4 linked regions of the Elephas maximus indicus genome follow. The protein of the gene in region 1 interacts with the protein of each later gene in a pairwise test. Links are inferred from orthologs where the notes say so. Each region holds a gene or a part of one and is shown in the gene's direction. Other genes may lie near its edges.

The links.
Region 2: the proteins of LNX1 (region 1) and DCTD interact in a two-hybrid assay, tested with the Homo sapiens proteins (2 studies listed by BioGRID and IntAct). The link is inferred for Elephas maximus indicus from reciprocal best matches to the Homo sapiens genes LNX1 and DCTD.
Region 3: the proteins of LNX1 (region 1) and KLHL12 interact in binary tests that used the Homo sapiens proteins (3 or more experiments, as listed by UniProt). The two-hybrid records come from large-scale screens. The link is inferred for Elephas maximus indicus from reciprocal best matches to the Homo sapiens genes LNX1 and KLHL12.
Region 4: the proteins of LNX1 (region 1) and KCTD6 interact in binary tests that used the Homo sapiens proteins (3 or more experiments, as listed by UniProt). The link is inferred for Elephas maximus indicus from reciprocal best matches to the Homo sapiens genes LNX1 and KCTD6.

Annotation. Positions count from the first base shown.
Region 1 is NC_064823.1:107,994,631-108,002,015, forward strand, and holds the start of LNX1 (E3 ubiquitin-protein ligase LNX), read left to right. Parts: upstream 1-4,362; 5' UTR 4,363-4,687; intron 4,688-7,385.
Region 2 is NC_064839.1:80,975,625-80,982,462, reverse strand, and holds the start of DCTD (deoxycytidylate deaminase), read left to right. Parts: upstream 1-3,825; 5' UTR 3,826-3,930; intron 3,931-5,491; exon of another isoform or gene 5,492-5,597; intron 5,598-5,823; exon of another isoform or gene 5,824-5,979; intron 5,980-6,838. UniProt on the Homo sapiens protein: Catalyzes the deamination of dCMP to dUMP, providing the nucleoside monophosphate substrate for the thymidylate synthase/TYMS.
Region 3 is NC_064836.1:11,645,647-11,653,361, reverse strand, and holds the start of KLHL12 (kelch-like protein 12), read left to right. Parts: upstream 1-4,695; 5' UTR 4,696-4,854; intron 4,855-6,642; 5' UTR 6,643-6,687; coding exon 6,688-6,882; intron 6,883-7,715. UniProt on the Homo sapiens protein: Substrate-specific adapter of a BCR (BTB-CUL3-RBX1) E3 ubiquitin ligase complex that acts as a negative regulator of Wnt signaling pathway and ER-Golgi transport.
Region 4 is NC_064838.1:63,072,956-63,079,997, forward strand, and holds the start of KCTD6 (BTB/POZ domain-containing protein KCTD6), read left to right. Parts: upstream 1-4,025; 5' UTR 4,026-4,788; coding exon of another isoform or gene 4,789-4,848; 5' UTR 4,849-4,976; coding exon 4,977-5,204; intron 5,205-5,610; exon of another isoform or gene 5,611-5,766; coding exon of another isoform or gene 5,767-5,871; intron 5,872-6,447; coding exon 6,448-6,476; intron 6,477-7,042. UniProt on the Homo sapiens protein: Probable substrate-specific adapter of a BCR (BTB-CUL3-RBX1) E3 ubiquitin-protein ligase complex mediating the ubiquitination and subsequent proteasomal degradation of target proteins.

The DNA of each region.
Region 1 (7,385 bases):
GGCTGTGGTGTGGAACATAGATTTGGTAGAGGGACTGGGGGCAAGAAGGGAAGCAGGCAGGATAGTTAGGATTGCCTACAGTAACCCAGGTGAGAGATGATGGACGGTCAGTTGGACCCCTGTGATAATGGAAACAGAGGGCAGTGGTTGAAGCTGATGTAAATTTTTGAGGTGGAATTGACAGGATGTACTTATGGATCCCACCACCTGTCTGTCAGTTTGTCGTACTGCGGTGGCTTAAGTGTTGCTGTGATGCTGGAAGCTACACCGCCATGAGTATGTCAAATACCCATGGAGTGTAGCTTTCAGTGGAGTTTCCAGACCAAGACAGGCTAGGGAGAAAGGCCTGGTGATCTACTTCCAAAAATTGTTGTTGTTGTTAGTTGCCATCAAGTCACTTCCGACTCATAGTGATCCCATGTTCAACAGAACAAAACACTGCCTGGTCCTGCGCCATCCTCACAATTGTTGCTATGCTTGAGCCCATTGTTGCAGCCACTGTGTCAATCCATCTCGTTGAGGACCTTCCTGTTTTTCAATGACCCTCTACTTTACCAAGCATGATGTCCTTCTCCAGGGACTGATCCCTCTGATAACATGTCCAAAGTATGTGAGATGTAATCTCACCATCCTTGCTTCTAAGGAGCATTCTGGCTGTACTTCTTCCAAGACAGATTTATTCATTCTTTTGGCAGCTCATGGTATAATCAGTATCCTTTGCCGACACCGTAATTCAAAGGCGTCAATTCTTCTTTGGTCTTCCTTATTCATCGTCCAGCTTTCACATGTATATGAGGCAACTGAAAACACCACGGCTTGGGTCAAGTGAACCTTAGTCTTCAAGGAGATATCTTTGCTTTTTAAGGCTTTAATGAGGTCTTTTGCAGCAGATTTGCCCAATGCAATATGTCTTTTGAATGCAAAAGATGCATTGCATCCAAAAATTAGCCAATGAAAACCCTATGAATCACACCTTAACACTGTGTGATATAGTGCTGGAGGATGAGCCCCCTAGGATGAAACGCATTCAAAACCGCAGTGGCCTCAACAATAGACTCAAGCATACCAATGATGGTGAAGATGGCCGAGGACTGGGCAACGTTTTATTCTGTTGTATATGGGGGTCACCGCGAGTCAGAGCCAACTCAACAGCAACTAACAACTTATGGATTGGATGTGGGGTTTAAGAAAGAAGGCGCATAATGGCAACTCCAGATGGAGCACTTGGGTGGATAAAAAAGCCATTTACTGAGATGGAGGAACAGGAGGAGGAGCAGGAGAAGAAGATGAAGAGCTGGCTTTGAAAGTGTGACGTATGAAATGGCTGTGAGTCGTGGAGCAAGCGGTTGGAAGATCTGACCCACAGATAGGAATATGGGGATTGTTGGCGTAAAGATGTTATTTAAAACCTTGGAGTGGGGCTTTGGACTCCTCCCCTTGTTGCCCTACCCGTTTGTATAAACTATAAGTTATATTCTTATGAGGAGAGAAAGGAAAGCAATCAGTCCATTACTGCTCAAAAAAACTATTTTCTATCTCTTATTATGATAAATCCATTTTAACCCTGATCAATCTCACAAGAGTGAAAAGGGACCTGAGAGAAAGCTAACTCAGGTTCTAGTTTCTTTATCACCATTTAAAGATAGAAATGGCTATTCTAAAAAATTCAGCATTTCTCAGATTTAATATTCCTCCTTCAAAATAGACCCAAAATAAGGCAATTTTCTCTGCAAATAACTGGGCATGCTATCTTTCCAGGATACTTTAAAAACGGGCCATCTTTCCTTCCAAGGGGAAGACAATTTGCTTTCCCATAATTATTAAAATGTTTAAGTACATCTGGACCTTTCTGCTGAGTTGAGATCTGTCACTCACCTAGAATATCCCACACCAAATGGAAATGATGCTCAAAAGCAGTGGAGTTTGAGCAGATCCAGGTCACCATGGTGTAAGTGATCTGGCTTTGGAGAGGGCACATTTGTAAAGTGAAATTAATACATCCTGTTTTCATCTGTGACTTCTCTCTGTTTCCAGTTTTGAACAGTCAGCTGCACTGGTTCCATGATCGTGCACAAAAATTTTGGGGGACGTTTATATGTTTGCTGTTAATCCTAGAATGGACTCAAGTCTTGGACGCCAATCAGTCGGTACTGATCCACATGCTCGGAGGAGCAGAGAGAGAAGTGAAATCTACCTACCTTACCCTTCTGCATTGAAAACCCCAGAGCTGCCCGCAGTACCCACATCTATCTTTGTTCCCTGATCGAAGGCTGTGGAGCAGATGCTGAACATGAAAGCTTCCATTACGTCAGCCCCTTTCCAAAATTTTGGTTTTTCATTTCATGTGATAAGGTTGAAAAGGCCCATTTGACTGTTATAAATTGCCTTCCTCATCAAAGAACTCCAAGACCAAAGTCTATAAACATATCTAGATGCTACGCTTAAATGTAAACCACAGGAAAAGAAAAATGAATTGATATCCAAACTAAATGCCCAGCCCCTAGCCCATCTTCCTCTTTATTACTATAACTCCAGTAAATAAGTCTATAGTCTCTGTTAAAAAGAATGAAAAGCTGACCAACCTCAAGTTGAGAGGTTTATGTGGCCCTAGGGCAAAATACCCCAAAGATCCACCAAACCAGATCCAAGGGTAAATAAGGGGAGCAATTGCCCTGATGTTGCAACTCCTATGTTTATGAAAACAGGCAACTTGGACCCCGCTGGGAGCCATCTCTCTGTCTCCTAATTAACGGTTTTACTTTCCTTTGACCAGTTGCCAGCTGCCCCGGGGTAACCACCATGGCACAGGAGAGCTAACTGCTAACAATTCGAAGTAAAGATGAAGACAATAAAACCCAAAAAGGTTGCAGTGTGACCTAAGGACTGAAGACTAAAAACACATGGGCTGGTTTCTTCTCACCAGGCAGAAGTTTCCAGGCCAGGAACTCAATCTCATTCCATGGATTGTTGATTAAAAGAAGCTTGTAACTGCTAGGCGCCTACTGTCAAAAGGACAAACTAGTGACCCGGCCATGACCAAAACACACCCAGAGCCAAGAGATTTACAGGGCACTTCCTGGTTTGTAAGTCAAAATCACAGCGGAGGGCCTGAGACAGACAGCAGCTAGCAGCACCACCTTTGACTAGAGAGGACATTGGGTACCTGGATTATACTTTTCCTGCATACACACTACATGTGAAATACACCAACGCACATCACCAGAGGGAGACCATGTAACTGATGACCAGTGATGCTGTTTAGAATTCTTTTCCCGCAGCTAGTAGCTTATTGAAGCAATGTCTTTGGCTATCCCTGAAGCTGTTCCCACACAGGTGTATAAGCCTACCTGGTGGGAAAAGCAGGTCATGGGTGGCTAAGTTTGCTCTCAACTACTAATTTAAAGGTTGGTGGTTTTAACCCACCCAGCAGTACCACAAAAGAAAGGTCTGGTAACCTGATTCCGTTAAGATTACAGCCAAAAAAACACTTATGGAGCAGTTCTACTCTGTAATACATGGGGTTGCCGTGCGCCAAGATCGGCTTGATGGCAACAGGTTCAGTTGGCTGTGTTTGTGTGTGTGTGAAAAGCAAGACTTCAAAAGCCCATGTCCAGAAATGTGATTTAACAAATTTTAAGTAGCTGAGTCACTTTGCAGTAGTTTAATCTCTCTAATACTCAATTTCTTTATAAAGTGGGAATGGTGATTATAGGATTATGATGAGAATTAAATGAAATAATGCACATCAGGAAATTAGCATAGGACCAGGCATTCGGTAAACACAATAAATGTCAGCAAAGATGTGGCTGCTAAAGGTGATGATGGTCAAAAGTAAACAGAAGACATTCTTATTTAAACAATAATCCTATATCTTTAGAATTAAAAATCTTTCATAGTGTCACCCTTAAACTTGCTCGTCACTTTTCTTTGTCTACGAACATTAGCTAGCATCCAGTGATGCGTGGTACTGCTTATGGAAAATCTTTGGAAGTTTTGGCAAGGTACTGGAAAAATTCAGGATTGTTTCATTTGCCTGATATAGAATTTCATGCACTTTTCTTTGCACATTTAAAAACAAAAAGACAAGCAGGATTCTGAGACAGGTCCAGTTGGAAGCCCTGGCTTATTTGGGGACTGGTTCTGAGCATGATGATGTCCCAGACCTAACGATGGCCGGAAGGTGCAGTGGCCAGTGTTTGTTTCCTTGTTGATTTCCTTTCCCTGGTTCCAAGCTCATGTTCCCATTGCCTGCAGGAAAACAACATCCAGGGGTGCGGTAGGCCTGACTTGGCAGCCCTAAAGGTGAACAAAAGTGTCCTGCATTTTGGCAAGAGCAGAAGGAAGTTTGAGGGAGGGAGGCTTAGCCCCATCCAAATGGATTTGTCACTGATGCGAACGAGCGGCTGCTCTGAGGGGCTGCTCTCCAACCGAAGTGGCGCCCTGACAGGCTGCCCTCTCTCGGGATCATGGATCTGCTCTGCCCAAACCTTGCAGAAAAGACAGGGGATGTGCTGATTAACCTCTGAGTATACGAAGGCAGAGTGGTCTGCACATATGTCTGGAAGACGAGGTGCAGGAAAGAGAAAGAAGCTTTCCCGAACTACTCTGGAGTCAGAAAACCTCAGCTTCCAAAAGAACTGTCACCTGAGGCCCCTTACACCTGGGAACTGATCCACAGGCAGCAAAGGTAAGATTGCCTGGTTTCTCCACCAGGTAGAATCTCATACAATTTGAGAAAATTTGACTCCTGACTATGCCAGCCTCCCACACCCACCTCTATCAGATGGGCACACACACACACACAAATTCTCTGAGGAGAGCCTTGCTGTTAGTTGCCGTTGTGTCCATTCCAACTCACGGCAACCTCATGTGTGCAGAGTAGGGTTTTTAAGGCCGTGACCTTTCAGAAGCGGATCGCCAGGCCTATCTTCCAAAATGCCTCTGGGTGGGTTCGAACTACCAAACTTTTGGTTAGTAGTCAAGTAATTAACCATTTGTATCATTGAGAAACTCCTAAGGAGAGTTCAGTAGACAGAAATACCTAGTTGTATCTTTTTTCAAAATACCAGAAAGGCCTCAGGACACTTGCTCTTCGCATGCTCATTTTTTCCCCCCGCACTGGTCTTCGCGGAAACGTCTTTCTTCCTTTACTTTCAAGAATGGAAACCATTTGCCAAACAGGTTAGTAAAACTGTAAGCAACCCTGTGAATGGCAATTGGATTGTATACAACTTTATTCTCATCAATATTCAAAACGCAGGCACATACACATTTTGTTTCATTTCTATGATAGGAACAGGTATTATCAGTCCCATTTTACCCATGGAGAAATTTAGGTCCAGAGAAATTGTGACTCAGCCACCGACATGTGTCAACTCCTGCCTCTTTTCACTAAAATGGTGACTGTATGTTCCTAGCCAAGTATCAGGCTACATTCATTGGCACATATTCTGATAAATGGTCCAATGAGAGGATGGAATTTTAAAAATTGGAACTGTCTTGAAAAATGCAGAAATACATCTTCACAGTATCCTGTTTACTTCCATTCCCGGGAATTGAATCCAGTTGGATGAATGTTGATAAACTCTGCTTCCTGTGCCTAGCACTGGGCCAGGCCGTGGTCCCAGCTATACACTCAAGGAGTGCAGAGCCATCGAAGCGGGGAGCTGCACATGGCAGCTGGTGGTAGTGGTAGTTGTCTTAAAGTTGTCTCAGGGTTTAAATGAGACAATGCACGTGAAGCCTTTGCTGGCACATACTAAAAAAATTTTTAAAAACCAGTTGCCATTGAGTTAATTTCGACTCATGAAGACCCCATGTGCTTCAGAGTAGAACTGTGCTCCATAGGGTTGTCAAGGCTGTGACCTTTCAGGAGCAGATTGCTAGACTTTTCTTCTGGGACATCTCTGGGTGGGTCCAAACTGCCAACCTTTTGGTTAGTAGTCAAGTGCTTAACTATTTGCACCAGCCAGAGGCTCCTTAAAAAAACCCAAAACCAACCCCACTGCCGTGGAGTCGATTGCAACTCATAGTGACCCTATAGAGGCTCGCAAGTGCTCAATAAATGCAAACTATTACCCTAGTGGTGCAGTGGCTAAGAGTTAGCCACTAATCAAAAGGTCAGCAGTTCGAATCCACCAGCCGCTCCTTGGAAACCCTATGTGGCTGTTCTACTCTGTCCTGTAGGGTCAATATGAGTCAGAATTGACTCAGCGGCAATGAGGTTTATTAATTTATTTGCTTCTAATCCTGGGTCCAGGCAAGATGCCGTGAATACAGAGAAGAGGGGCCCAGCCTTCAATCAAAGCTTTGTAAATTAGTTGTATGCAACTATGTACAGTTGATAGGTGCTCTGGGATCACACAGGAGGCAACCACTAATCTGTGGGAGTTGGGGTGGGGGTTTGGGAAGCCTGCTGGGTGCGAGAGGCAAGGTGGAAGAGGCTTCAGATCAAGAGGCCTTGTGTGAAGGGAGACGGCACAGAACAGCGAAAAGAGCTATTCAGATTTGGTTTCTAATCCCAGAGTCATCCCCTCCTAGAAGCGTAGCCTAACCAAGTTACTAAATCTCTCTGAGCTTCCATTTTCTCTTCTATAAAATGGAGATGTTTCTATAAAACATAAGTTGGAGAATCATCGTGATAATTAGAAAGAGAACACTAAAAGACCTCTCTCTGTTTCTGGCCCACAGAAGATGCCCAATAAGCAGTAGTTGTTATCACCACTTTAGACCAAGCCTCAAATGAACACGGGGACTGGCACAATCCATGTTCCAGGTAAACACTGAAGAGCTGGTCCTTAGTTATTCCCTCAGACTTTTCTGAGATGACAAAGGAGACCTTGGTGTTTCCACTTCATGGTGCTGGCAGATGAGCCCATCGTCAGATAAGTCGAATGGATTGCATGATCAGATATCATGTGTTATCTCTATCTAGCTATTCAGGAACCTTTCCAGTCTTTACTAAATGAGCGGGGTGAGCCCAACCCTCTCCCACACCTTGGCAGAGCACCAACAGGCAGGAGCTATACCCCAATTCTGCTTCTACGGCAGACACTCCAATCCTTCTCCACCCAGAGTGGCCTCTGAGTACGTGTTCTTTGCTAACTGAATTATTGCTGTTCTCAGCCCTCTCAGTGCACAGAGCTAAGACTTGTGTGTGTGTGTATTTCTATACTAATCTTTACATATTGAAGAGCATAAATTCACACAGGTGCTTCCAATTCCAATCCAACACCACAGAGTTCATTCTTGTTTTGTCCCTTTCCATATTTGTAACTCCCTTTTTCTCTGACAGTGAGATACCTGGCTCCCATTATCCTCAATATATTTCCTTATTTGATCAACCCCCTGACTGTAACCACCTGTGGTCACTACCACAGCTGTCT
Region 2 (6,838 bases), on another chromosome or scaffold:
CAGGGGCTTTCATTTACGGTGATTCTTCGGCAGTCACCTTGTTCCAGCAGATAAAACACACTGCAAAACGAGTGGCGAGTCTATATCCAGAACCGTAACACCTCGTTGATTACCCTTTAGTATATTCCACGATGACCCCAGAGTAGAGGGTCTAATTTAATGAGATCATTAATATTTCTGTAAAACCAGCAATCTGATAAATTCGCTTTTGCTAGGCCCTTTTTACAGAACCAGCATAAGTGACTGTTCCCCAGGAAGCATTATCTTTTCTTGTATGACACTGAAAGCTTACATGCTGCTTGACAAATCTGAATTTTAAAAAGTAAGAATGATTGGCACTTGGTAACTTACACAGAAATAGAAAATGGTACAAGAAAATTGCCCATTTCTTTTAGACTTACATTTTATTTTTTTCTTTTAAGAAGTGATAAGATATGTAATTTCCATCAAATTCAACCAGTTATGTATGAGAGAGGCGACAAGTTCAGCTCTGCAGAGGAAAAGCAAGTCATGCGAAGTGCTGACACACCGCCAAGAAGCCAACAGCCTTCCCTGCTGCACGTTTCTGGCTTCAGTTCTGGTAGGTGAGATGGTCATCTGTGCGCCAAGACCAACATCTTGCACATGTCTTGTAAACAACTCTTCTCACCCTTTGTTCCTGGGCTCACCAGCCCCAAGTGTCACTTATCAAATGTCTCTCCAGGCCTATTTAGTGCAATGAGATAAAAGAGATACCGCATTTTCGGCAAATAACTTGCCCAGAGAAATAACGCACTCACACACATAACGCGCATAGCACAACACGCATGAGAGGGTCGCGCAGGTTGGCAAAAAAAATAGTGTGTGCGTTATTCGCATAAAAACATGGTACAGAGGTATAAGTAGAGTTTTCAGATGAAGACTTATCTTTATGTATTAGGTGCTCTGAAAAATTGGGCAAAGAGTGATTATTTCTGTTACAGTGAAACGGGTGAGAGCCGGGACTCAATGTGACTGCCTTGTTTTTCTGGGTCTCACAGTTTTCTGCCTTCAGTAGGGTGCAGTCTTACCACTTTTCTATCGTTCTCTATTAGTGGAAAATATTTGACTTTTCCTCCTCTCAGACGTTTCTGCCTTACACAGGTTTCAGCTTTTGGAGGTTTCACTGTAATTTATTTGTTTGGTCAACAAACAGTTATTGATATACAATATGCAAAGCATCCAGTTTGGGGATATGCCAAGTTAACATCTCCTCATTGACCATCATTACAATTTTGAAGATTCATGACGGTAAAAATAGATACAAATTCTGAATTTTTTGACAGAATATTTAGTCCTTTTGAAGTCTTTTCATTAAACATGAACTGACCTCATGCTCTAATTGACAAGGCCACATATTTAAATTATCTTTTATTCTAAAACTTTCATTTGCTTTTTTTGTGGTTTAGCAGATAAGTCATCCCCTTATTTAAGGTTTAAACAGTTCCCTTTAACTGGGATTGCTGACTGGAAACAAAGAGTTGTTCTTTTGAAAAACAGTAGAAGTGGTACTTTCCCTGTAAGTGCAGTTGCTGAGCTATGAAAAGAACTTTTTCATCCTGATAACCATGGAATTAAGAACAAAGATGTTCTAACAGGCAACTTATCCTATGACGTTAACTGAGCCAGCGACAACGAGGTTCATTTACTGGGACTTTATTTGTGGCAGCGGAGAGAGAAGGGCCCTAGGTAAGCTCTGTGCGAGCAAGAACCAGTTTGTCTTGCCCATTGTAGTATCCCCAGCACCTAGAACATAGTAGAGAATTAATAAAAATGAATTGAGTGAATAACTGTTGTTTATTTTATAGATGAAGAAACAAAGAATCTAAGTACCTTCTGATGGTCACTTGGAGGGAATTAGAATTTAAAGTCTGGTCTGATCCAACACCTGTGCCATTTCTCCCATTACAAACTTGATGTAAAGACTGCTACTTTCCAGACCCCCAGCTTGACCTGGTTTCCTGGGTTACAGTCACATCCTTTCCTTGGTAAGGAGGGGAAGTAGGAGAAGCGGTCAGCAGTATCTTGGCAGGGCAGACACCTATGAACACCATCAAAGCCCCTTCTGAGGCAGACCCAGAGGCAGCTTACCTTGACTTCTTTTTAATCTGGATCCCCACCTCCAAATTCCTGAATTATTCCAGGCCAGGCTAGAGATCAGATGTAGTTAACCTGCCGGCCTGCAAGTAGAGGAGCCAAGGCAAAGCCTGTGACAATAATCCTTATGAGCGTTGGTGTGTTCACCCCTATGCGAAGCCCCCCCTCTTTGCTGGAGAAAACGTGCTGTAAATCCGACTGAAACTGTAAGAAACCTCTGTATCTGTGGTAAGTGCAGAAAGGTTCTCAATTATAAACCAAAATACGAGGTATTAACGAGAGAGATATAACACCTACAGTTACGTTTGGAGTTACAAGGTGTTAATGAGCAAGATATACCAAGGAATGCATCTTCTCCTTCAGCTGCCTGGGTTGGCTGTTGGCGCAGAATATTTGAAACCTCAAGTTCTGAAACCACGAATCAGGAGAGTTTCCTGCATTATGAATGATGTCATCTTTGAGATGAGGGACTTCTAGTGAAACGCGGGCGCATTCAGAGTAATGTTTGCAGCAAGCATGATGTTGAATGTATTGCAGAGGGGAGCGTGTGTGTTGACCAAAATGGAGAAGGATGAGAAGTAACTAAATTACGTACGACAGTCTTTACAGAACAAAGGGAGAAAGCTTAGTGATGCTGTGGTTGAAGGACCAGCGGCAATTGGTGATGTACTGGCTGTAGGTTGGTAAGAAGGGAAATGGATCTACGAAGACCCGAAGACTACAGATGGAGTGACAAGGCCCGAGCGGCGGAATTGGGAGGGGGAATATAATAAATTTTTGTGCAACAGGACAGCCAAATAAAGTTAACCTGACATTAAAAATCATCATCTTAATCTATGTAGCTCTTTCAAGCCTGAGTCTCATCACAGAAAAAAAACAAACTACAGCTAACGATGAAGTATTTCTCCTTTTGCTTTCCCGGCACCCACGAAGAACAGCACAGAATTCAATTATCGAAGGTACGGGCTGGACCAGGGGGATGAAGAATGACGTGTCCGCTGGAGTGAGAAATTAGATGGAACCAAGTGTTTATTCCCATCATTCTTCCTCGGTTAGGCTAAATTAATAGTTAACAAACTTTTGTTTGGATTAGCAGCTCAGAGCCGGGATGTGCAGATCAGAACTCACGATTATTACAGGAGCCATTGTTTACGGAACGCGCACGGTATCCTCCAGCCTTGGGTGTAAAACGGCATCTTCTGCCATTCTGTGTGCAGGAAACAGCGTTCCACCAGACTGAGGGCCTAGGCTGCTGAATAGACTGCCGAAGCGCCAGAAAATCAGATACGCGTTCTTGGAGTCTGTGACCTCAGAAATGGCACTGATGGTCTTTTCTATTGCCCTGTGCCATGTTTTTCTGATCTCTTTAATAATTATATAAAAACATGCACAATTTTATAGCCGGCAACGGTTATCAGCGGTAGTTCCAAGAAGGGTGTGCGCGGTGAGGCGGTGGGCGACTTGGGGAAACCCCTCAGACCCTTCCAAACTCAATCTGAATAGAAGCTGAGGCGGCCTTCCAGGCGCTCCCCGCCGGACCCAGTCCGCGTCCCCCAAACAAGCCCTTCCCCTAAAAACTTGTCACGCCACCACCTATCATGATTCCCCACGAGGACACAGCCACACAGCAGGTTCATTCCAGAGACCAAAACCAGGCCTCCTCATCTCCATCCCCTTCCGCTTTCACTGTACTGGGCTCTGCGGGTCATCTCTGACGCACACATAACGAGTATTTATAGCACCAGCTTTAAGGAATCGACAGTAGGAAGAAAACCTCACCACTACTGATCAGAAGGACCCCTGCCTTACACTCAGGTATCTTAAAAATGCATTAAAAAAAAAATGAAGGCAGAGCCGAGTGCGGGCAGTCCATCCCGCGCCCAGCGCCCAACGCTTGCGGCACAAAGCACGGCGAAGGCGGACGCCGAGGGACCCCGGGAGGCCGGGCTCAGCGCCGCCCACAGCCAAGCCGTTCCCGGACAGGTGCCCGAGCCGAGGAGTGCTTCCTGCTCCGCGGGGCTCAGGCCCTCACGCTGGGGGGGCGAGCCCCGGGCACCGGGGAGAAGGGCGCGGAGGGCGCGGGCCACGGGCCCCGGGAAGGAGCGCTCAGAGGGCGCGGGCCCCGGGCTTCCAGGGAAGAAAGCTTGGAGAGCGCGGGCAACAGGGAGGAACGCTGGGATGGCGCGGGCCCCAGAGAGGAAAGCTCGGAGAGCGCGGGCCCCGGGGAGGAACGCTCAGGAGAGCGCGGGCCCTGGGGAAGAACGCTCGTAGGGCACGGGCCACAGGCCCCGGGGAGGAACGCTCGCAGGGTACGGGCCACGGGCCCCGGGGAGAAACGCTTGCAGGGCGCGGGGCCACGGGCGTCCGGGAAGCAGCGCTCGCAGGGCGCGGGCCACGGGCGTCCGGGAAGCACCGCTCGCAGGGCGCGGGCCACGGGCGTCCGGGAAGCACCGCTCGCAGGGCGCGGGCCACGGGCCCCGGGGAGGAGCGCTCGCAGGGCACGGGCCACCGGAGGAAGTGCTCGCAGGGCGCGGGCCACGGACCACGGGGAGGAGCGCTAGCAGGGCACGGGCCACCGGAGGAATTGCTCGCAGGGCGCGGGCCACGGGCGTCCGGGAAGCAGCGCTCGCAGGGCGCGGGCCACGGGCCCCGGGGAGGAGCGCTCGCAGGGCGCGGGCCACGGGCGTCCGGGAAGCAGCGCTCGCAGGGCACGGGCCACGGGAGGAAGTGCTCGCAGGGCGCGGGCCACGGGAGGAAGTGCTCGCAGGGCGCGGGCCACGGGCCTCGGGGAGAAACGCTCGCAGGGCGCGGGCCACGGGCCTCGGGGAGAAACGCTCGCAGGGCGCGGGCCACGGGCGTCCGGGAAGCAGCGCTCGCAGGGCGCGGGCCACGGGCCCCAGGGAGGAGCGCTCGCAGGGCACGGGCCACCGGAGGAAGTGCTCGCAGGGCGCGGGCCACGGACCACGGGGAGGAGCGCTCGCAGGGCACGGGCCACGGGCCCCGGGGAGAAACGCTCGCAGGGCGCGGGCCACGGGCCCCGGGGAGGAGCGCTCGCAGGGCGCGGGCCACGGGAGGAAGTGCTCGCAGGGCGCGGGCCACGGACCACGGGGAGGAGCGCTCGCAGGGCACGGGCCACGGGAGGAAGTGCTCGCAGGGCGCGGGCCACGGACCACGGGGAGGAGCGCTCGCAGGGCGCGGGCCACGGGCCCCGGGGAGGAGCGCTCGCAGGGCACGGGCCACGGGAGGAAGTAATCGCAGGGCGCGGGCCACGGGCCCCGGGGAGGAGCGCTCGCGGGGCGCAGACCGCACCACCCCGGCCACGCGCCACCCTTCCTAGAGCGCCCCAGCTTCCGGCGCCCCGCGGCCCCGCCTCTTCGCCGCACTTCCTGCTCCGAGCGCGGGTCCTTGTTGGCCGGGGAGGCGGAGAGGCCCTCTGCAGACTCGCGGAGTGGAACCGGAGCACGGGCGGGCCCGCCGAGCCGGTACGGTGCCCGCGCGCCACGATGCCGCCGGGAGCGCTGCAAACTGGGCTCCCGGGTGGCGGGCGAACGGAGACTTTGCACCCCTGCCCGTTAAACAGTCAGACGAGCGCGGGCGGGAGCTCGGGGTGTCCGGCCGCGCCCCGGTTATCTTCACGGCGTGCATCGCGGCCTGGACGAGCTTTCCCGCTTAGGAAGGAGACGTGGGTGGTTTCGGGGAGAGGCTGAGCAGTGGGATGGGACTGCGTCAGAATTCGGGGTGTTGGGAGGAGCACGGCCTCTGCCCAGGCCCGCGACTGGCTCCAGTTCCCTGAGCCTCGGTTTCCCGCGTCTGTTTGTGCTGCAGGATTTCAGTCCTTATGGGGCTCCAGTGAGCATTAAACAGGTAAAGCGCCCAGCGAATGACTGCGCTTTAGAAATATGCTTTTTTTTTTCTCTCTTGCCTCGTCGCGCACTTCTGTTTTACCCAATAATTCAGTTTTTGAGGTAGAAAAGAGCAGATTAGACACAGAAAAAAGCAAGCATGAATGGAGGAAAGATGGATGCTCCGTGGAGATCCACAAGGCACGCTGGGAAGAGCGCTAGAGAAGCTGAGATAAGGGTTTTCCCCAGAGAAAAAAATCGGACCCATTGCAGTAGAGTGGATTCCAACTCCTAGTGACCCTATAGGACACAGGAGAACTACCCCATAGGGTTTCCAAGGAGTGACTGGTAGATTTCCAGCTGCCAACATTTTGGTTAGGAGCCTGAGCTCTTAACTACTGCGCCACCAGTGCTCCATAATTCTGTTCAGTAGATACTAACTTGGCACCCTACAGAGATTAGTGGGTACTGACCTTTAAGGCAGATGGGAGATGAGCCCAGTCCTGTGTGCATTATGGAAAGAAGGCTGTCAGGTGTCCCAGAACTTAGGCAACATAATCAGTGGGCAAAGGAGACCTGATGGCACAGTGGGTCGGTGGTTGGAACTCATCAGCACTCCTTGGGAGAAAGATATGACAGCCTGCTTTCTAAAGATTGTGGCCTTGGAAACCCTATGGGGCGGTTCTGCTCTATCCTGTAGGGTCCCTGTGAGCCCAGATCTACTGAAGGGGCACTGTGTTTTTATTGTTGTTTGTTTTTGAATCCTAGGTAACCGTGGTTCCCTATACCCACAAGTTCCCTGCACCCTTGTCTGAGGCAGGGCTGCACTTCACCGTAGCCGACACTTAAGTCTAGAGCTTGAAGCAGAAGTTTTGGAAAAC
Region 3 (7,715 bases), on another chromosome or scaffold:
CTATGTACTTGATGTGATGACTGATGATAATAAAAGAAAGTACAGAAGATACTTGACATTCACATATTTAACATGTGTGGTCTCAGCTCTCTGCACACGACTCCAAAGGTCTAAAACCTGTAAAAATTTCAGTTCCTGCTGAGGTATAAGTTTGAATCACCAGCACTGATGGTCTGTATATGTTGGCCAGTGAATGAACCTAACTGTATTTCTAACACGTCAATATAGCTTTATTTTTCTCTCCTTGCTGCAGAGACATTTTATGAGGGAAATTAGTATGCTGTAGTGGTGTTCAGCAACTCGAGGGCACTGAGTTAGTGGTGTTCAGTAATTAGAAGGTTCTCAAAGGTGCTGGGATAGATCCCTTATGACTATCAAAGATCTATCTATTACATAATAGATCTTGCTCAGGGTTGTCTCCTAAAGGGGTCACTCCACGCCTTTCTGTGCCTTTGTGAATTGTAGCACTCAACTTGACACGGGTTCTGTTCACTGGATAGCGTAAGGCCCGGCAGTAATCATTTCTCAGTGACATGGGCAGTTGAGAGTCTTCTGGGGTAATAAACTTGGATTTACTTCAACAGCCAAGTTTGTACCACTGGAATAGCAAATGATCCTTTTAAAAAGTAACCCAACTAGGCCAACAGGAAAAGTCTCTCAGCCTCAAGTGTTAGTTAGGGAAATCTAAATTAAAACCACAATGATATACCAGCCAGATTGGCAGATTAAAAAGCCTAATAATACTGAGTGTTGGTGCAGGTACAGACGTATACGTTGGTAGAACCACTCTGTGCTGATACGCATATAGTATATGCCCATGTTAAAAGATTCAGATATTTCATGAAACAATACGAGATGGATCTGATAGCTGTCTCAGGTTACTTCATTTAAAAAAAAGTGCTGGTTCTGACCCACTAAATTGTTTTCATAACTCATTAGTAGATCACAGTTCACAACGGTGAAAACACTTTTTGAGAAACATACCAAAAGGTTCATTGCAGCTGTTTGTAGTAACAAAATACTGCAGACAACCTAAGTGCCTACAGCTGTTGAATGGAAAAATAAGTCTTGGTTTATTCATATAATGAAACATTAACAGTGAAAATGAATGAATTACAGTGACAAGCAATAACATGGTTGAATCTCAGAAATAAGGTTGGAGGGAGGAAGCAGCTTACAGAAGAATGCATATGGTATGATTGCATTTACGTGAAGTTCAGAAATTTGCAAAACTAAAGACAGTTTGTTATATCTACTTGACATTTAATACAGAACAATTTTAAATTAAAAAAAAAAAAAGAAACACTTTCAGAAACTGTTAGCAGAAGTCACCAACTGGAGCTGAGTAGCAGTTAAGTGCTACGACTGCTAACCTAAAGGTTGACAGTTCAAGTCCATCAGGCGCTCCTTGGAAACTCTATGGGGCAGTTCTACTCTGTCCTATAGGGTCGCTATGAGTCGGAATCGACTCCACGGCAATGGGTTGGGGTTGGGTGCTTTAAATGGATGTTTACAGTTCAAGTGAGTTTCTCATACAAAAATTTATACACACAATGTTACGTGGCCCTAGCTGCTGTCCCTATACTGTGACAGCACAGTCCTTTCCACGCCAGATTTCCCGTGTCCATTCAACCAGCTCCTGTCCCTTCTGCCTTCTCATCTCGCCTCCAGAGAGGAGCTGCCCATTTAGTTTCATGTCTGAAGAAATTCTTGAGTGTGTTAATCCGGATCTCCGGAAAAGCATTCGCCAAGGCATAATTAAATGCGCAAAGATTTTATGACGGTAAATGTCTATACGAGTGTATGTAAAGGAAAATAAGGGAGCAGGACAAGGCTGAAAGCAGACCGCGCGATGCAGATCTGACCCCTGTGAAGAAGGGAAAGAGGAAGGTTGGGAGAAGCGTCCTAGACTGCCCTGCAGTATAAGAAAAGTTCAGCCAAGCCCTTGGTTTTTTGGAAATCCTTCATCCAAGGTCTGATGACAAGAGGCCAGTCTCCCAATAAAGGGTCTGCCTTAGTACCTCCGCTATGAGTCGGAATCGACTCTACCTTAACGGGTTTTAGGACCTCTGCCGTTCCTGGTAAGGGGCGGGGACCAGCTCGCAGGAGGTGTGGCCTCAGCCTTGGCGCAAATTCAGCAGCGAATTTCAGAGCAGTAACTGGGGCCTTCGCTTCGTTACACACTGTAGGCAATAGAGAGGTGCGTCCTGCAAAAATACAATATATTCTTCCTGACTGGTTTACAGGTTCGACCTGTACCTTCATCTACCTGATCTTGAGTTTTAAGGCAAAGTCCCTGTTTTCCCTCATTGAAACTTTCAATAGCTATGAACACCAGAATCAACACCACAGGTATCCAAACCATAAAGTCAGGATGATTTATGGGACCTGGCTACTGACTTACCTTATCAGGACTCAACCCTCAAGAAGGGACCTTAGAAACTTAGAATAAGTTTGGGCTGTAGGATATCGGGTCAGATATCCAAATGCCTGTAAACAATATTCTTGTAGAGAAAAATTTGAACGCTGCTTCAGGTTAAAACAGAAAGGTTTATTAAGAATTAAAAACAGTTGCAATTGGGAAACTACATAGCCTACTGAAAATGGAACCAGGTATCCCAGGACAGTTTCCTTATACAAGTATTCTTATGGGGTAAAAAACGGAACCAAACCACAGCGAAGGCAATTACAGGAAAATAAATATTGTAATAATCACACTGGTTACGGATTACTAATAGTGTAGTTAGTGATTACAGAGAATTCACAGGATGCTTACTTAAATCATGGTCACAAAGGCCTCCTGCTGGCTCAGTGGTTAAGAGCTTGGCTGTTCAAATTCACCAACCACTCCTTGGAAACCCTATGGGGCAGTTCTACTCTGTTCTATAGGGTGGCTATGAGTTGGAATCAATTCGACAGCAACGGGTTTGGTTATCTTGCAAAAATACTTTGTTGGCAACAGCACCCAGACAGCACTCTTCCTGAGTGCATGTATTTTCAGGGGTGCAGATGGTCACTTGGTTAAGACCCCTCAGGGCATATGATTTCACGTCCTGGTTTTGACCATGGAGGAAAAACATTTTTTTTTTTTTTTGAGAAAAACATATAGCTATAATCCAGATTAAAATGAGATAGCATGGTCAGCATAGTATGCCTCTCTGTCTCACTGACTGCACTGAGAGTTGTCTTTTCCTGAGACATTCTTGTATGGGAAGGAGAGTTAACCCATGATTCAAAGACCCAATATGTGCCAGGACTGTACCCCTGCAGAAAATAGGAGAACCCTGAACTGGTTTCCTCAGTGTGTTGACTCTTGCTAGCTGCTTGTCCATCTTTAATTCTCTGGAAAACAGTAGCCATACTCTAAAGAAACCATCTTTTTAAGTTCCCTCCCATATTTAGAAAAATTCTTGATTTAGTAGCCAGGAATTAGGCAATATTATTAAGGTGTCTTTTTGTACTCCAAAAATAAGGGATGATTTTTATTTAAATTGTACATATTTTTAATTCACAGGATTCAAAATTACAAAAGCCCAACAAGATATAGAGAGACTATCTTCCACCCACCTGCCCGCCCACACCCCCCCCCACCAACTACCAGGTTCCTCTCCCCAAAGAAACCAGTTACCACTTTATTTTATACCTTTCCATATACATTTTATACATATACAAGCACATATGGAGTCCCTGAACGGTGTAAACATTAACCACTGGAACCCACCCAGGGGTGCCTCCAAGATAGGCCTAGCCTTGAAAACTTTATGGAGCACTGATAATTTTAAACCTTAAACCAAAAATGTACCCTGAATTCTCCTTAAAACTGAACAACGGTTTAGCTTAACTAGTAAAAAAAAACGTCTGCTTTGAGCATTATGCTCTTTTAAGAACTATCTTTGTGGGAACAAATAGACAACAGTATCTTGAAAGATTAGATAGAAACTTGGGGGGGCACTGAGTTTATATTAATGAAGGAGGAATAACTCAGAAAAGGGGGCTGAGAATGGCTGTGCTACTGAAAGAATATCATCAATTTCAGTGAACCGTACATGTAGAAACTGTTAAGTTGGTCTATGTGTATGTTTGCAATCAAATTCTGAGCTTAAAAATCTTTGGAATCCTCTCAGTTGTCCTTGCCTGTGCACCTTAGGAAGAAGGGGCTCAGCCTCCGGCAATCACCAAAGTGAAAAGCTGTACATAACCCCCACCCCACTCCACACACACACCTGCCTGCCACACCCCGCCCACCCACCTTTCCCTTTTCGCCTTCACTACACGCACTGTAGTGTCGCTATGAGTCGGAATCAACTCCACCGCAATGGGTTCGGTTTTTTTTTTTTTTTTTTTAATGCACTAAAGTGAAGGAGCCCTCACAGCGGAATGGTTAAGCGCTTGGCTGCTAATCGAAAAAGCAGGAGGTTCAAACCCACCAGCAGAATCCACGGGGGAAAAAGGACCTAGCGATCTGCTCCTATAAAGATCATAGCCTAATAAACCCCATGTGGCAGTTCTACGCTATCCTATAGGGTCGCTATGAGTCCGAATCAGCTCCACAGCACCAAACAAGCAGAAGAACAAACGCACTGAAAGCGGACATCCAGGTAGACTCAGGTCACGTGATACCGCCTCCTCACGTGACGCAGCCCCGTGGGACGAGGCCGAGCCTTTAGCTGCATACGTCATCACTTAGCGCGGACCTGGTGACGAAAACAGCGACAATCACAGTGACGGCTCCAGGGCCTCCGGGTCGGGGCGGCGGCGGTTCGGCTTCACTTGAGCCGCCTGCTAGCCCCGCGCCCCACTCCACCCCACGGGCGGGGGACGGGCCGGAGCGATTGGGTGGGCCCGGGAGCGGAGGTGAGTTGCGCGGAGGGGGCGGCAGTCAGCCCTCTTCCTCCTACCCCTCAGCTCCGGGATTTGGCCCTTCCCCCGTCTGTCGTCTCCTTCCGAGGCGGAATGGGAGAGATGCCCTGGAGAGGAGGAAGACTGGGGGCTTCTGGCAGCGAGCTCGCTCCTCTCAACTCCGCCCTGAGCTGCGCCCCTTGGGTACCTCACCTGACGGTGCCGGCCTTATTCCTGATGCTGTCAGGGGAAGAGACCTCCTTTTCTTTTCTCCCACCTCGAATAGCCAGAACTTAGCCCCTCCCCGAATCTCCCGTGTTGGAACCTCTCTATTCAGATATTAACGGAAGTTCTAGAATAGGTCACCTCAGAAAGGTGAGGGTGAGGGATGTGGCTGAGACTTCCCCTGGTGATAACTTGAAGGACAGGAATCCCAAAGAGGGAAGGTCACGCTGCTTTAGGGTTATTGTCATTTTTACACTAAAACTATAAGCCCAGTCATAGACTAACCGCCCGCCCCACCATCTTCACAATAAAATCGGCATTTGTTCAGACCTTTTTTATATCCCCAGATTTGAAACTGAGTAAACGAAAATCCTTCTAAAAACATCGTTTGACGCATCACCTTCTTTTCTGTGAAATGGATCTTGCAGAGCTATTAGAGGGATTATCTAGTGTTGACAGAATTATATGCGAACTATAAACAGAAGTAGATGAGAATTTAGGAAAGTAGTGAGGAGCTCGTTTTTGCTCTGCAAAAGTTATGGTCGGGAGTTGTGGTGTCTGGAAGACAACTGATTGATTTCCCCACCCCCCACCCCCCGATCATTTCGGAAACTTACAGATTTCAAAAAAGATAAGCTGTCTTAGTCCATCCCACTTCATTACCTAGAAATTGCCCTAGAAGAAAAAAAAAGTGTGACTAAAACTTGTCAACAATCAAGAAAGTACTCCTTAAGCTGCATACAGTGAACTTTGCAAGTGATGAGCTATCCCAGTAAAGCTAGTGAGTTCTGATAGGTTTATAATTCTAATAAGGCTCTTTGGGTATAGAAGAATAAGTACACATACTGATTTTTTAATGTTGATGGACATTTACTAATAATATAGAGTAGGCAGACTCTTCTGTTGAACAGCTTCAACTGATTAATCAACTGAAAGCCCATAGGTAGCTTGCATGGTTTTCATTATGCAGTGTAGACATTGGATTCTCATTTGAGGTTTCATTATAAGAAACCCAGATATATTTGGAGGTCTTCATAAATAATTCTTTGCATACTCTTTAGAAAAAGTTCATTTTCACCATCTCTGGCCATTCTTGCTCTAAGTTGAACACAGTTTTTCTTGTATTCAATTAATGTTTATTGTGTACCTGCTAGGATAGCAGAACTATAAAACCGGATCCTCAGTCTCTAAAATCTTATCTACCTGTGGATATTGGTAGTTATCAGACCTTTAAGGAATTTTATCATTTGAGACAACGATTTTGTGAAAACCTGCAGGACATGTATAATATCTTTCTACTTACAATACAGTTTAGTATTAATTATAATAATGTCAAGTGGTAAGGGCACTCAATGATATTGGAATTCAGAGAAAGAAAAGATCATTTAATTGAAGTAGTAGCCGGATTGTGTTTTGGCAGTGATGCCAGGAGGAAGAGTGCTCTCTACTGGTGGAGGGTTCGGTTTCAGGAAACTTCCCCTTAGCTCCTTCATTTTTAAAGTTAATTGAATATGTTCGGTTTCCTTCAGTCTTTCAAATATGCTCTTTTTTTTCTCTCTCTGTCTGCCTCTGTTTTAGTTGTAGGATCCAAGGACGACTCTTGTTCTTTCTCCAAATTGCTTAATGGGAGGCATTATGGCCCCCAAAGACATAATGACAAATACTCATGCTAAATCCATCCTCAATTCAATGAACTCCCTCAGGAAAAGCAACACCCTCTGTGATGTGACATTGAGAGTAGAGCAAAAAGACTTCCCTGCCCATCGGATTGTGCTGGCTGCTTGTAGTGATTACTTCTGTGCCATGTTCACTAGTGAGGTAAGTAATAAGTTATCTCCTCACAAATGAGACACATGTAATCTTGTAGTTGTCTCTTTTTGCTGAATAATATAGAGGTTTGATATAATAGTGAATTCTCTATTGTGGTGGTTACATAAAAAGGCTCTGGAAAAGATCTGCCACTTAACCTGAGTGCTTTAGTTTCTTCATTTCTAAACTAGGGATAATAGTCATACATAGTAGCGTGGTTATTGTGAAGATCATATGAAATTACATGTAACATGATTAGAACAGTGTTTAGCATATAGGAAAAAACTCAAATGTCAGCTCTTGGGTTTTAACGTACTTTTTATAAAGTTGTTTCCCTGTTTTTCTCCTTCTAAACTTTAGTATTTTTAAGTCACTACCAAGGGGTAGCAACTCATAGCGCCCCTATAGGGAATTGACTCGACAGCAATGGGTTTGGCTTTTGGTTTGACCAAGGGGTAGGGAGAAGGGAAGGAAAGAAGAGGAGTGGGATTCAGTCCTCATCCCATTCCTCTTAACAGTATGTGAAGAAAATCAGTATTCATTCTACCAGTATAGATTTAGGGTAATTTCAAATGAGAGGAAGAAGATTTCATGAATGGTTATATAGGATTATGGAGTGTAACTGGAAAAAGATGCTGACTCTGGAGTGGACACAGTTAACAGAAGGAGTTAGGAAAAGGTCGTCTTGACAAGAAAAACGGCAGTGCTCACAAAGTATTAAGACTGAAGACTATTTAGTAATTGCTTGGCAAAACACTTGAATAGTAGAATAAGGTTGTTGAATATATTGTGAGGTAGTCTTAGAAAGTTGAACACAGGTGAGGGCTGCAACTTTTTTGTTT
Region 4 (7,042 bases), on another chromosome or scaffold:
AGCAAAAGAAGAAAAGGAGGAGGACACTGGAGTAGCAGCCTGGGATGGGGGGAGATAGGGTTGAGGGGGAGATCTGAAAATTAACATCAGATAGAGCCCTGAAGCTGTTTATCTGCTGGTGGCAGGGGGCCTGGAGAGACGAGGGGCTGAAGATCTGAGCCTAGAGAGGTAAATGGGCTGGAAAGTGGACAGACCCAGAGACAGGGAGGGGATCACCTGGACAGGAGGCAGAATCCCTCAGCCATCCTATGAGAGGACAGCACAATGCAGGTAAACCCAGAAGTGGGCAGAGGAGGGAGGGAGCCAGGGAGCCCCCACTGAGGATGCATCATTTTCCTGCCAAGTGGGAGGTGAGGTCACCCATGAAGAGAGAGCTGGGAGGAGGGGAAGGGGGGAGACTCAGAACTTCAGGCCTAATTTCCATCTTGGTCTGAAAGCACCAAATGGTTTTGCCAACTGCTGCCTCCCTCAGTGTCCTCCTGGGCCCCTGTGCATCTGTAGCCATGTAGCTGCCATAGTAAACAGCCCCTTCCAGGCCACCTCTTCATCACAGGAGCCTGGACACTTGAAGGCCACCTGGAAAAGAGAGGCCCAAGGTCACAGGGATGGCTGCAAACCAGAAGCTGGCTTCCTCCACAGGCTAGCAGCCCTGAGCTCTGTGGGGGTAAAACAGCTTCTAGTGTAAATCTTTTCCATCCCCACCCCTTCAAACCAAGAGATCCGGACAATTTACAGGAGAATCTCACAGAACATTCAAACCACAGCAAACCCCAGTCTTATAGAAGCTGCTCTAGTAGAGAGACCCTGATTCCTTAATTTATTTTATGAGGCTCATATAACTTTGATAGCAGACAAGGAGAGACTAAGAAAGGAAAAGAGTAGGCAAAACTCACTCATACACCCAGATGCAAAAACTTGAAATAAAATAGTAAGTGGAATTTGACAGTATATTAAAAAAAAAATACACCCTCAGGGTTAGTTTATCCCAGGAATGTATGGATGGTTGGTTTAATATACAAAAATCCATGAGTGCAATTCATTATTTTAGGGGGAAAAAACCACATTTGTTAAATTTCAACACCCATTCATAATTACACTAAATAACCCAATAGCGCTTCCTTACTCTGATAAAGCAGATCTATGAGAAATCTACCACAAACACCACACTTCATGGTGAAACATGAGAAGCAGTCAAAAACAAGACAGGAATGTACACTATCATCACTGCTACTCAACACTGTGTTGGAGGTCTTAGTGCAGTAAGACAAGGAAAAGGAAATAAAGACTGGACAGGCTAAGCTGGCAAACTGTCATTGCTTGTAGGCCCTTTGATTATTTACATGGAAAATTCAAGAGAACCTGCAAACTAATTATAACTAAAAAGAACAGTTTATCAAGTTTGCTGAGTACAAGGTCATTATATAAAGCCATTACATTTCAATAAGCCATCAATAAATTATAAAATATAAACAAAAAATGTAATTTGCAATAGCAATGAAGGCTTCATCTTGGAACAGGTGTGACAAAAACACTGCCAAAGTGAATCTCTTTCATTCTTTAATTGGGAAAACAGGAGCCTCAAGAGGGGAAGTGACTCTTCCAAGAACATTCTGGATTCTCAGTGGCACCAAATCCTGAAGATTTGAGTGCTAGGTAATTTCAGTATTGTTTTGCTTTTGTAAAAAGAAAGAAAGAAAATATAGAAAATTCAGAATATTAGGAATTAATGTCCCTCACACTCCCATCCTACAACCTAGAGAACTATGATCCATGATCTGGTGTTATTTCCTTCAAAATTTTTGTCTACCTATATTTATGTTTTAACAAGATGGATTGCCACAGTGGCTGCAACAATGGGCTCAAGCATAACAATGATTGTAAGGATGGTGCAGGAGCGGGCAGTGTTTCGTTCTGTGGTACATAAGGTCGCAATGAGTTGGAACTGACTTGATGACACCTAACAACAACAACAAATTTATGTTTTTAACATTAAAATTATACTACGTGTAACATTTTGAGTACTGGTTATTTTCACACGCATTTCCCTGAGTCCTCACGTAGTCTTTTCACACGTCAATTATGTCGGCATAACTATAACACTCAATTATGTTCCCGAAGCATGTTATTTATTTAGCCTATCAATTTGAGTTTTCTGAGAAAAACCAAGTATCAGATATGACTGTGATAGAAGTTGAAACCCAGACATGCAATTCGATGAGCTTCTGAGGCCGGTGGTTGTCCTGATGGAGACGAGGAAATGGCAAAACGAAAGCCTTATAGCTGGCCTGGCCTGGGAAAGCACAGAGATCTAGATCTAGGGACAGAAAAAGAAGGAAACAGGACTTGGGAAGAGGGGGCTGAGGACTAAGTCCATGCTTGGAGACCAGCTCGCTCTGAGGCTTTAAGTGGCTTCCCAACCTCTGCAGCCTTGTCTTTCTTCTTAGTGAAATGGAGACAATACCCCCACCAGCCTCACCTTGGGCAGCTCCCAAGCTCCTTCAGAACTCAGAGCCTTTGCACTCTTTTCTCTGCTGACAGCCCTGGTGGCGTGGTGGTGAAGAGTTCGCTGCTAGCCAAAAGGTCGGCAGTTGGAATCCATCAGGTGCTCCTTGGAAACCCTATGGGGCAGTTCTACTCTGTCCTGTAGGGTCGCTGTGAGTTGGAATCCACTGCAAGGGGTTTTGGTTTTTCTCTGCCCTTCTCCCCAACTGGCTGCCTATGCTGACCCATCAGGCCTAGCTGCCCTGCCCTGCCCTGCCCTGCCCTGCCCTGCCCTGCCCTACCCATCAGGCCAGGCTGTGGTGGCCTGGGGCTTTCTCACAGCCCATATTACACCTGTAATTATATAATAGCCAGAAGCTGCTTGAGTAAGGGTGGCCTCCCCCTGGAGGTCAGGGCCAGGAGGGGCTCACCACAGATCTGGGCATCCATGTCTTCCTTGGCCACTGCATGTGAAGCAGCGGGCCCTTCCCCTTATTTTTCATCTAAGTCCTCTGATCACACCCCTCCTATCACTTACCATAACTTGTCATTATTTTGCTTACTCTCTGTTTCCTTCAGTCTTGTCTGCTTTCTCCCCTCGCTAGGATCCACCTCTGTCTTGGTGGTCGGTCCCCCCTCTAACCCCCAGGTTTTGCACATGGTCCGAAACCAAACCAAACCCGTTGCCGTCGAGTCCTACTCATAGAGACTCTATAGGACAGAGTGGAACTGCCTCATAGAGTATCCAGGGAGCGCCTGGTGGCTTCGAACTGCCGACCTTTTGGTTAGCAGCTGTAGCTCTTAACCACCAGGCCACCATGGCCAGGGGCTTATAAATGTTCACGGAGCGACTGAGGAGAAACAACCGTGGAGCCACCAAATCTCCGTGAATGGCCGGCCTGAGGATGGGCAGAGCCCCGACTGCCCGCGGGGCGGGGCGGGGCGGGGCGGGGGGCGGGTCCTCTGGGCTATGGGGCGGAGCCATGGGGCTGCGGGGCGGGGCTTTGAGGCTGCGGCGGAGCCGGCCTGACCCAGCCGCCTAGGCCCTGCCCGGCTGAGCAACTCAGGCCCCCGGGTCTCGGGCTTCCCGCGCACTGCCGCCGCTGGGGGGCGCCCGCGCTCGAGGCGGCTCGGCTCGGGAGGCGCCGCCCGCGCCGGGCGGCTAGTGCCGCAACTCCGGGTGCGGGCTCAGTCGTCCCCTCTGCCGCCGCCGCTGCCGCCGCCGGGCGCGGGCTCGCTCGTCCCTGCGCTCGCGCTCTCGGGCCGCCGGCGTCTCCCGGCCCGGCCGCCGCCGCCGCGCAGTGAGTGGGGCGGGCACGGGGCCTGAGGGGCTGGGGCTCGGGAAGGCCGGCTTGAGGGGAAGCCCGCGGGAGCTGCCGGGAGCGGGCTGAGGAGAATCTGGGCGGGGGCGTCCGGAGCCGGGCGATGGCGGGCGGCGCAGAGGGCACCGCGGGGAGCCTGGCCGCGCGCCCCGGGGCGGCGCGAGCGCACGGAGGGGCTGCCCGCGGCCGAGCGGCCGGGCCTGGGTCTCGGCGGGCCCGGGGTCCCCGCGGTGCTGTGCGGCCCCCACCCGGCCCGGAGCATCGCCCGCCCCACGTCGGGACCGGGGTCGGCTGGGGTTTCGCCTGCGGGGCGGCGGGGACCCGGCGCGTTTGCTCGGGGTGATGGGTTTGCGGGGAGTGGCTATTAGCCGGCGCTTGCCCCACTTTAAGGCGTAGGAGCCCAGGCTTCGGGAATTTTCTGCCCCGGAGACACCCAGGTGTGCCGCTGAGCCCTCTGTGCCCAGATTTGCGGGTCTGGCGTGTTTCAAGGCTTGATGTCACGGGTGACAAATGGCCGTGGTAATCGGGAGCCCCCGAACCGCCCGCCAGGCTGACGGTAGCGGGGTCTGGGTCTGGGGGTAGGACTGGGAAGACGAAGCGTGACAGATCCTATTTGGATATTCCTCTGAAGTTAGGGTTCTGTTCAAGTCTACCGGCTCTAGAACACAGTTTTAGGACTTCGTGATAGAAGAGGTTTGGGGTGGCCTGGTTTGACGAAGAATGTTTGGGGTCACCTAGCCATTCCCATCCCTCCTGGCATGTTCATTTCTTGTGTCACAAATGCATGACACGAATGATTCAGTGATAGGAAAGAACTTAGGAACAGCATTTAGCGCAGACCTGAGCCCAAGATTGAGACGTTTCCAGATGAGCGAAGGTGTAGAAAGGAAAATAATCTTTTTGTAGTCAGGGTTGGCAGATTGGGGGAATTGGCTCTTTGGTTGAAAACATCAGCCCCAACCACTACTTCAGTTTGTGTAATCCGATGGATATCAAGGATCGAGTGGTCAGCGTGGCCATGGGTGCCGTTCCTCAATTGTGTAAGGTTAGGATTTTCATAAATGACATTTTCAGCGAAGCATTACTAGCGACAGAAATCCTAGGGTGAATCCTTCTCTGCGTCTCTCTCTTGTGTCTTTTGGATTTTGATATTTAGGGTTTATTTGAATTGGAATGCACACATTATTTCGATCTGGCTTTCCCTCAGAGATAATCCTGAGTCATGCTTTAGAGAAGTTCCTGCCATCATCAGAGCTCAGACGTCTGTCTGGTGGTCTCTGGAGAAGCTGGATCCTCCTCCTTACTGGTGGTTCTCTTTTCTGGACCTCTGGGGGAAAGAAGGACCTAGTGGCGACGGAAAGCAGATTAAGAAGCGTTTTCCTCCGTATTTGTTGTTTCCATGTAAATGCTCTAAGTTACTTGTGTTCACACTCTCTGATTTCTCAATTTACCACAGAAAATTAGTTGATGCTACTGCCACTAGTATTTTTCCACTTGTATAATACTTATCTGTTTACAAGTGCCTTTGTATTAATGATCTCACTTATTTTCTCCATTTCCCTGAAGAAGAAGGTGCGTGTAGACAGTGATTTACCTTGCAGGGTAATGCGGATCCTGATCTGTTGGTTACCTTGTAGGTCAGTTTTTGCCTTTGTGGTTGTGCCTAACATGGTGTAATTCCTTTTAGGAAGTCGATATTATCCTGTTTCTTCATCTCAAAGAAACTTAGAGTAAGGAATTTTATGATTCTGTGACTGGGGTGGCTCAGCTATCTAGTATTAAGGCCACTTTTTTTTTTTTTATCTAGAGCTGCTTTCTTCTAGACCACAGGGTTGATAGAGGAGAGAGAAAAATGAATTCGTTTTAGAAAAATATCTATTTCTGCAGTGGTATGGCTATGGATAACTTAACACTCTAATCACATTCTCCTTGTGCTTCTGGCTACTCGAGCTGGCCTGTGTGAATGTTAGCCCCAAAGACTCCTTTAGATGTCGCTGAACTAGTTACTATAAAAAGTGTTTCACTTTCAAACTCCCACCTTTCAAGAACAGAGAAACTCAACACAAAGGTAATTGAAGTATGTATAGATGGGAGAGAACTTGTCTTAGTCTTCTATTCTGAATGCCAGACCCAGGAGTTTAATAGAAAGGCTTTGAAAGGACCTCTGGAAACTTGGGAAGGTGGTAGCTAGGAGTTTTTATTATTATTTATTCACATTTGGAGATGTCTGTTGTAAGGAAGAAGTTGTTAACGCAGGAGTAGGACTTTTGCCCTAGGGAATTCTGAGTCTATAGCACAAATGATAAACCCAAAATATTTGTGTTAAATTAGCTGTTCATAACCATAAAGCCGGTCATTGCAATTCTGCAGGGATGAGGAGAATGGCATTTAGGGATTCTTAGGTTATTGTCTAAGTTATCAACATGTTGAATTGTGCATTCTTCAAATTTGCTACTTTATAAATTTTTCACAATTGCTTTTACACTCTGCACTATGTGTTTTCCTTAATTACCTGCTAACATTTACTCTGTCAGAAGTTCTGTAGTCATAATTAACTTACAAAGTTCAAACTTTCAGTGCCACTTAACGTTCCTGGGGAAAGGCCAGCGGGTCGTTTCCACAGGAATTTTTATTTGCACCGCAGGTCAGAATTGCAGGCACAGATCTTTTCAGGTGAGCTGATTTTTTCAGGGTCAGAAGCCTTTCTTTGAACTTTATAATCCTTTGTGCTTAGTTGCATTCACTGTGTTTTAAAAAGATCTTTAGTAAGGAAAGTCACTATAAAGGAAAATTTTTTTTCGTTGTTACCGTCTTAATCTTCATTCCTGGCAAATTTTCAATAGAATTTTCTTTGCCATCACCAAGTAAAACAGGCCCGTTTGATGCCCACTTCAAGATCTTCCGTCTGTTGCCTCTTGTGTTCATTTGACTTCTCATTAAGCCCTCCACTGGAGACTGTGCCAGAAGAGAGAGAAGAGGAAGAGCAAATGAATCATTTTCTAATTGTTAGCAGCTCCAGAAAATGATTTAGTATGAAAGACTGAAGCGGTTCCGGAAACCCTTTTGAATTATGTTTTATTTCACTCATCGGAGCTGTCTGTTGAGCTGTTCCCAATAGTCATCAATTCAGAGACTGGTTACCCAGCTACTGGATAACCAGGAATCTTTCTGCTTTTTTTTTGGTTTGTTTGTTTCTGTAAGTTGAAATACAATTTAAACCAATCAATACTATTTTTTTT